Linked DNA regions of Drosophila melanogaster. The protein of the gene in region 1 interacts with the protein of each later gene in a pairwise test. Each region holds a gene or a part of one and is shown on either strand. Other genes may lie near its edges.

The links. The genes of interacting proteins can lie anywhere in the genome.
Region 2: the proteins of knon (region 1) and Cpr62Bc interact in a two-hybrid assay, tested with the Drosophila melanogaster proteins (one large-scale study listed by BioGRID).

Annotation. Positions count from the first base shown.
Region 1 is NT_033778.4:16,496,365-16,501,089, forward strand, and holds knon (knotted onions), read right to left. Parts: upstream 3,066-4,725; 5' UTR 2,986-3,065; coding exon 2,822-2,985; intron 2,656-2,821; coding exon 615-2,655; 3' UTR 525-614; downstream 1-524.
Region 2 is NT_037436.4:1,839,739-1,844,005, reverse strand, and holds Cpr62Bc (cuticular protein 62Bc), read left to right. Parts: upstream 1-1,921; 5' UTR 1,922-2,001; coding exon 2,002-2,016; intron 2,017-2,113; coding exon 2,114-2,245; intron 2,246-2,818; coding exon 2,819-3,214; 3' UTR 3,215-3,725; downstream 3,726-4,267.

The DNA of each region.
Region 1 (4,725 bases):
TGCGAAAACCCTGCGCCAAAATGTAGGCAACACTTTTCGAACGGCTGCTTTGAAATGCCAAACAAAATGGAGAAACTAAAAAGTGGACTAGTTTGACTTGGTTATACCCTGCTTTTTTTACAGGTAAGATTGTGATAAGGTAGGATAAACTCACCTTCAATTATTGTAAAACAATCAATACAAATGCACTTTTTAGTAAACACATACAGAGATGTAAAAACAGGTTTGATAATTCTGTAAACTCACCTTTTCATATCCGCACACTATACCCCTTTACACTTGGCGGGTGGATAAACAACAAAATTAGCATAATTATGCAATCTACAAACGCCTCACACTCATTTCGCTTGCAAAATCCAAATAGAAAACTTTTTAGCCGTAACAGCAAAGCGAAGCTAGTGGAAAAGAATAAATTTATTGCCCATGCCCACCAACCAACTTTTTGGTCAGCAAAGCTGGCCTGGAAAAAAATTTGCATGAAAACAAACGTAACGAGATTCGAAATCAAATGAAAGCGAAACTTTGAACGGTAAACAAATGTAACATAAAATTTAATACGAAAAACAACTAACACAAATTGGTAGAAAATTATTACGAAATAGTGTTTGTGCTGATTACTTTTTCTTCTTAAGATCCTTGAGAACTCGAGCGATTTCGTCCTTCAAGGCCACTGCACGTCCGGCCAGCATTTTGGCCAAAATGGCATGCTTTTCGGCCATTTCCAATGCCTCGCGATCTCGGCTGCTCACTTCGCCAGTTTGTTCGGCAGATCTTATGGCCAAATTGTTGGCGGCTTCCACGGCCTTCGATGCCTCGGCCAGAGCTCCTTGGGCCTGCCTTTGGGCCGAAGTGTAGGCCTGTTCCAGTGCCTCCAGACGAGCCTCCTTCTTCCTCTTCAAGTCCTCCAGTGTGTTGGTGGCTTCTGTTAGTAGAGTAGCAGCTCCTGAGGCCATTGTGAACACCTGCTTGGCCATATCCTTGGGTGACTTTTGTCCTTCAGCTTCTTGCTTGACTTGATCGCCCTTCGGATTGGCTGATATCTCTAGCTTGGGATATATGGTAATTGGTTTGTCATCTTCGGGCTTCTGTGCTTCTTCAATTATAACTGGTTTTTCCTTTTTCTGGACTAGCAGCTCTGCAAGTTGATTGGGATCTGTATACACAGGACCAATTTCATTTGCGCCTTCAATACTAGCTTTGTGATCCTTTTTAGAGTCCTTGGATTCTGTTATCTGCATGCCAAGCACGGGTTTTTGATCTGATCCTTGTGGAATTTCTGACAGTGATGCCTTTTCCTTGGGCTTACCCGAATCACCAGATTTCTTTTCTTCCTGCTTGGCGAGTTCCTTACTGCACTCGGATATGTTGATGAAGACCTGGTCCTGCTGCTTCGATTTTGTCGAACCGCCTTCATTGTCACCACCGAATTGGTAATCACCATCGCATTTCGGCTTCTTCTTGCAAGGATCCTCCTCATCTTCACAGGAGCCCTCTTCGTCCTTCGGCTTACAAGGATCGGGCTTGCAAATGTCATCTTCTTTCTCCTTCTGCTGGCAGGGATCTGGCTTACAGACTGCTTCTTCCTCTTTCGCTTTGCAAGGATCTGGCTTGCAAACGGTTTCCTCTTCCATGAGCTTGCAAGGATCAGTTTCCTTTTCGGCGTCACAAGGATCTTTCTTGGTCTTGTGTTTCTCCCATTCCTCCGCCTCTTTTAATTGTCTCTTGCGCTCCAATGTCCTAGCTATCTCCCTGGCTCGCTCCTCCTGGGCATCGCAAGGATCCGCCTCAATGGAAAGGTTAGTATGCCTGGCCTTAACCTCCGGATTGGCCTCTGCCTCCTCGCTGCGTATTATAGTTTGGTTGCAGATGTTCGGTCCAGACTCTCGTTCCGTAATGCTGTCCAGTGACTTGGTTGGTGCGGCTGTAGGCGTTGCGGATTTGCTGGCAGTTTCGGAACGCGCAGCTTTGGCGGCGTCTGCCTTTTTCTGAACATTCTTGGCCAGACCCGACATCTTTTCTTTAAGACTATTAAAAAGAACAATAGCTTTGGCCATCAAATCTTTGGCGATTAAAGTGGCCTTTTCGGCCAACTGAGAGGTGTCGACAACGGGTTCTTTTGGCTCCTTTGGAGCCGCAGCCGCCGGAGGCTTTCCTTCTCCACTAGGCTTATCTGGTAACTTTTCGGGAGCTGGTTTCTTTGGCGGTTCGGGCTCCTCTTCGTGATGCAAAGCAGCTGCTGCCTCTGGATCCGATGGACCTGGCATTTGCTCTTCAGGAGTGTGTGGCCAGAAAGTGGGCTTGTTGATGAAATCGGGTGCCAAGTGCGGACGGGCAAAACAAAATTCCTCCATGGTCATTTCGGAATAGGGTCGCATTGCCTTCACGAACTCCAACTTTTCGGTTAGCTCCTGGATTCTTTTATCCGACTCCGCCTTGTATTCGCTAATACATTTTGTCACCACCTTCTTTTCTTCATCGACGAGTTCAAAGTATCGCTTGTGATCTACTATGGCATGTCGATTCTCGAATACGGAATGCAATTTATCATACTTGGTCTCGTATCCCTTCACCCAATCGACAAACTCTTCTCTCACATTCTGACGGTAGTATTCCCAGTCGATTGTCGGCATCGATTCCGGATACTTACGAACGCGGCTATAAAATATATTTATATTATTCTCTACAATGGGAAATAATTCTCATATAAAGCAACATAAGCTGTAACCTAAATAATTAGTAAAGACCCTGCCCTTCTAAGGTAGACTTAATTCATGCTCCCCCAGGTGACCCCAATTCCCTGTTTTTGGTGACCCCATCTTACTCCTTGTACTCCTCGTGCTTCTTGGCAAACATTTTGAACTTGTGCATCTGGTTCGGCGGCACCTGTTTCATCAGATCCGCCAGTTCGACAACTTGGCAGCTTACATTCTTGACGCCACCATTGCCACCATTGCTCTTGATGCAGTTCACCAGCTTTTCCCACATCCTTCGGATTCTTTAGCAGTATTTTTATGGATTTATATATGTGTATGTTCAGGTGTGTTCACATTGGCCTCCAGTCTGTTCTATAACTTGTACAAATATGTGAGTGCGTAGTGTGTGTGTGTGTGTTGAAAACTCCTAAGGAGCCAACTGAGAGCCATTAAAAGTGAAAATTCCAAAAGGCTATAAAAAAAAACGGGGTGGGCGGAGAAATCGAGATTTCAATTTATAGCCCGAAATTGCATATTCATGCAGTTTCAATTAAATCAGAGTCAGGCGCAGCGACAGCTAAGCAAGTGGGTTTGACTAACTGACAATAAAATCGAAAATTAATTCCAACCCAGCAGACTGCTCAAGGAAAGTTAAATGTAATTGCATGGAGATGGGGTATTTTTGGGGTGGCATTGCCAAGTGGGTGGAGTGGGTGGAAATGTAAAATCACACCCAGGATATGCGTATGTGTTTGGGACCTCTCGAGTCTGCGAATGCTCCAAAGTGACAAACGCAATTTATAACGCAACGAAAATGGGCTAATGCCAATTCTTCAGGTAATTGTCGTCTGCTCTCTCTCTCTCTCCCTCTCACTCTCTTTCTCTAGAGAATCATGGTGCGAGAGAGGGTGTGCGAATTGCAACCCCTGCTGGAATCGCAGGATATGCTCCTTTAAACGTTTTGGAACGAAACGAAACATGCGCCTGCGCTCTGTGAATGTTTCGCTGTCATTTTGACAGTTGCGAATGTCCTCTCACCACCAACAAGGACCTTTCCCTACAGGACTCGAACAGCTGCCTCGCTCTCGCAGGACGAAACGCATGGAAAGAGGAACGGCGAGAGAGAGAGCAAGAGATTGTCTGCTCCGTTTGACAGCAAAATTCGAGCGTCTGTAAATTTGTATGCCTATTTTTCTGTGTTTTCGCATTTAAAATAATTAAAACTCGAGTGAAACTTAAGATTTATGAATCCAAATAGTGAACAATGGTTGTGATTACGTTGGCACCCATCTATAAACACAAATAAGCCCACAGTCAACTTAACTTCATCTGTGTTCATGTTCCTTTTCGCGTGTTTGTGTGTACCATACAAAAGTGTGTTTACATTTTTTCATTCATCCTAACCAACAACTAAACAATAGAATAAATGGTTTAAAAACATTTTCGCAGAACTGGCAGATTAACAATATCAAGTAAGTTACCTAACTTTAGATCTCTAAAGTTCATGTTATCTGAAATCCTATGTTCCTATGAAATATAAATAAAATTCATCGTGTATGTGATTGTTTGAGAGTGTACATGTACACAATCGCATCTATGTAAGTGTGTGTGGAAAAGGACATACCTGTGCAAGCTGGGCCAAGGATTCTATGTGGGCTGGCCTGGATGGGATAAAGTAAAGAAAATAAATACAAGCACCAAAATATACATTTAAAAACTCAATGAGAATAAATAAATATGTTTGAACAGCTGAAAAAAAATGATATTTATACATTATATTATACATTATTTATACAGACACTAAATAAATAAGGCAACGGATTTATTCTATAAAATATCGTATTAAGTAACTTTAATATGCTTAAAACTGTTTTTTTTTGTTTTTAAAATACCTTTAATCTATTTAAGCTGGCAAAAAAAAGGTAATCACATAAATTAAGCTCAAAATAATGGCCATAAGCCCAGTGGTCATAGTAACACTCACCCACTTTTCGGCTCAAATTTATTTCAAAACTTAATGAAACTCATCAAA
Region 2 (4,267 bases), on another chromosome or scaffold:
TGGCTCAATCTTCCATCAAAAGGCAATCAATTACAGCATTTTTGCTCGAACCCAATCGAAACCTAGTTTTTCAAAGTCTCGACTGCAAAAATTCAATTAATTGGCCACGACGGTGCGTCATTTTCCGCAAACAAAGGACGCAATCAGATCGTGCTCTAATTCAGGCAAACTCAAAGATGCAGTTTGAATATTTAGAGGGGTATATCATAAAGGGGGGATGGGAAACTTTAAAGAAATATAATTAAATTCTAAGGAAGCTCATTGTCTACTTACTTACCAACTAACCATTCCCAACTGCCCATTCTACGAAAATCAACATGTGTAAAGTAATCTGGACTAACTTTCGGATAAGTAAACCCTCTTTTTTAACTACGCCCCTGCTGAGATTAAAACTGTTAGTGATCCGTTACACGTCGTTTGCTGCTGTGTCGTGCTAACCTTGAGATGATTACTTCAATTTGTAGTACGCGATGGCCAGCCTGGCATAAATGGTGGCTCAGAGGGGGGGGGGGGGGGGGGGGCACCAAAGGGGGAATGTCAGAGCCGAGCTACTAATTCGAGACAATTTATTAAATGAGTCGAAGCAGGGCAAGTACGTAGCATAAGCCTGGCGCAAATATGCCGTAAAACAAAGCAAGGCAGCCCTCAAAAATATGACAAAACCAAACGCTTTTGCTTTTTTACTGTTCGTAGTTTTGGCCTGGTAATGAGTTGGGGCTGAACTGGCGTCTATTTTGGCCATAATGATGTGGCGCCACGCTGCGCCCCACTTCAAAGGCGTTTCTACAGCGTCTTCGGGTGGTGGCCTCCCCATAGCACACCCCTCTTGTCTTTCCCAGATGGGTTTAATAAGCAAAACGGCCTACATGGCAATTAAAAAAGTGTCAGTAGGAACAACAGTCAGTGCACTGGAAAACAATTGAAGAACAAAGCCACTTGCTGACTTTAGTTAAAAGTATTGCAAAAATATCTCAAGATTTATGGGATTTCATGAGTCAGTAGCTCGTTTTAGTGGAATGATACCACTGATGTTTTACTAAGACTTCGAAATTAATCTACAATACCTCAAACCATTTTTGGCAGTGTACTATCACATTAACCAAAAGATTTGACAGACGACGCCCGCTGCAAGCAAAATAAGGCACAGAAAACGTAGAACATAGAAAACTTCGACTTGAAGCCCACGAAACAGACGAGCGAACAAATTGCAACATGCAACAGAAAAAAACCATGGGGATTTTCAGGAGGGGGCTGCAACACCGCCGCCCACCGAAATGCAATTTTAACTTATTTCAGCCATTGTCTTTTTATTTCATAAATATTTGTGTTTACGGCTAATTTTATTCGTGCGCGAAGATTGTTTTTGCTAGGTAGTTTAGAGCTTGCAAAGGCCATTTCAATTAAATCGTGATGGGAGATGGTAATATATAGATAGCCAACTTTTTTCCGATCATGATTTCATAATTAATACGCCTTAATAATGGCCAATTTGATATGTTAATACGAGTATTGATTTCAGCAGATAGAACTCGCATTAAGTGAGGTTTTCCCTTCCATTTCACAATTATTTCGACTTCGATTTGCATACATCGCCGGTTATCTCAGAAATCAGACAATTTCCAAAGACAAACCACAGCCAGCCAACAGTCGCTCCACATCTGAACTGAACTTCACTCTCGTTTTTTTTCGCTGAAAAGCATTAAATAATTGTGAATTGTTGGTGGGGAAGGGGGGGCGTTGCAGGGGCGTTGTGGGGGCCTCAACTTCTTGGGCTTCGCTCCGCAAAGCTCGGCTTTGGCTGGTATTTCATTGTAGTTTTGTTTTTGCCCCTGCTGACCGACTGGCATTCGGCTTTTTGTGACTCGGCTCGGTTTGGGCCGCTCGGGCGTTGTCTTGTATATAAAAGCGGCTTCCTTCTTGGTTCTAGTTATCAGTTGAATCCAGCTCAACGTACAGCACACACTCGCGTCTGCAAGAAACAAAATCCCAAAAATCCAAACAATGGCATTCTTCAAAGTGAGTGAACAGGACAGCCCTGTGACAGCCAAAAGTGCCCTGTGATCCAATCGAAATAGCAAACTAATAAAACAAACCCCTATCCCCTGTGATCTAGTCCCTCATCTGCCTGGCCGTCCTGAGCGCCGCCTCCGCCGGAGTCCTCCACGGACATGGTGCTGGTCTCTACGCCGCCGCCCCGGCCATCTATGCCGGCCATGGTCACCACGACGAGGGAATCGATTACCATGTAAGTGGGCAAGATAACCCAAAAAGGATTAACTTTCAAAGTAGCGCATATGAGGATTACTAACTCTTAAAGAAAATCAATGTCCTACTATTGGAATCCATTTGACTTGTTTAAAACATACATTTTGAAAAGCTTCCTCTTAATTGAAAATGTGCATCATGAGTTTATTGCTCTTTTAAAATCAAACGACTACAATACCATCCAGAGCTAAGAAATGCATGCATCTTGACTCATAAAAATTACTTATACGACACGTAATCCCTCCCGCAAACATTACTCATACGACCTGTAAGCCCGAAAAAGTTATACAGCCTACCGGCTGTTCATGCAATCATAAAATTATACTTAATATGCCCTAAAACTGACACCATCAGTCCGCACAACCTCTCACCCACTCCTCTGTGGATGCTGGTGGCCCAGGGTCACTGTGGCATTTGCCATTTAGCCATTTTCCCACGCTAGCTTCATTAGCATGGCCAGCTGCTTCGAGTGGCGTGTGGCATGCACATAAAATTAGCACCCAATCCTAGCAGGCCCGTACTCTTCTCATGGAATCTTTACGCCAATCCGCAGGCCTACCCCAAGTACCACTACAACTACGGAGTGGCTGACTCTCACACCGGAGACGTGAAGTCGCAGCACGAAGTGCGTGATGGTGATGTCGTCAAGGGATCCTACTCTCTGGTGGAGCCCGATGGTTCGGTGCGCACCGTGGAGTACACCGCCGATGACCACAATGGCTTCAACGCCGTCGTCCACAAGACCGGCCCCACTGTGCACCACGCCGCTCCCGCTGTGGTTGCCCACGCCGCTCCCGCCGTGGTCCATGCCGCTCCGGCCTATGCCCCAGCCATTGCCCACCATGTGGCCGCCGCTCCCGCCGTGCCCTACGCCGGATCCCTGGCGCATCAGGTGCCCGCCTACGGATACGCCACCCACAACGCTCACGCGCATGTGGCCCACTACTAAGGAAGTGGAGCAGTCCGCTGGATGCACCACCTGAAGCACCACCTGCACCGCTAACACCACTCTTCTGTAATTTATTAAGCACGTTGACGACCTCACAAAACGGCTGATCGATCCACTGACGAAGCCTGCTAAAATACTCAGTACCACAGTCATGTCCATCATGTCCTGCCGTGGATTCCCCGGACTTTCCCGGCAGCCTCTGTCTCCCTCACACACACACACACACATTGCCGTCTCTGTCTCAGCTTTCGCGCAATTCTCTCTTTTGTTTGTTAATCAACCTTCTCTTTAATTGTAAATAATGAAAACATCGAGTGAGGAACAAACGCCCATCCTGCCACACGCCCACGAAGAAGAACCAACCTGAAAAGATGAAGAAAAACGAACAAAATGTAAAAAAAAATAATAAAAAAAAACACATGTATTATAATAATTTTGTGTATACTATAAGTTTGAAGCTGAAACGGCTGACAATGCTATAAATACAAAATGTAGAGAATTATAAAAATTCAAATATTTCGTTTTTTTACTGCACAGAAAGGAACTGAAAACATAGATTGATCTTTAATTTGATTATTCTGTTTTATCTTACAATTAATTAGTTGATTGGCATTTCTGATCAGAACACATTCACTTTCAAATTGATTCCAAGTATGGGTAATTATGGTTTCCATTAGTTATGAATGTTATGGAAATTGATGGGTAGAGAGCACTTCGTCGAGATCACGCCACTTGATTGACAATAATCGATCTGGCTAATTTGTGGGCGTGGAGTGAAAAAGGTGAAGGTAATCATCGGCGGTTGATTATCATTTGATCCGCCAATAACCAGTTGGTGTTTATTAACTGATTATTTATCTGCAGAAGAACTATGCCATCTGTACTCTGGCAAGACGTGCGCTTTCATAATAAGATTCGCATCAGCATTCATATGAAACTTGAAGCTTAAATATAAAACTATATATAGCCTTATGTATCTGGAATTTGCATTCATAGAGTTTTCTTAATTTCCGATTTAAGGATATTTCACCAGATGCACTACTCGAACTCATT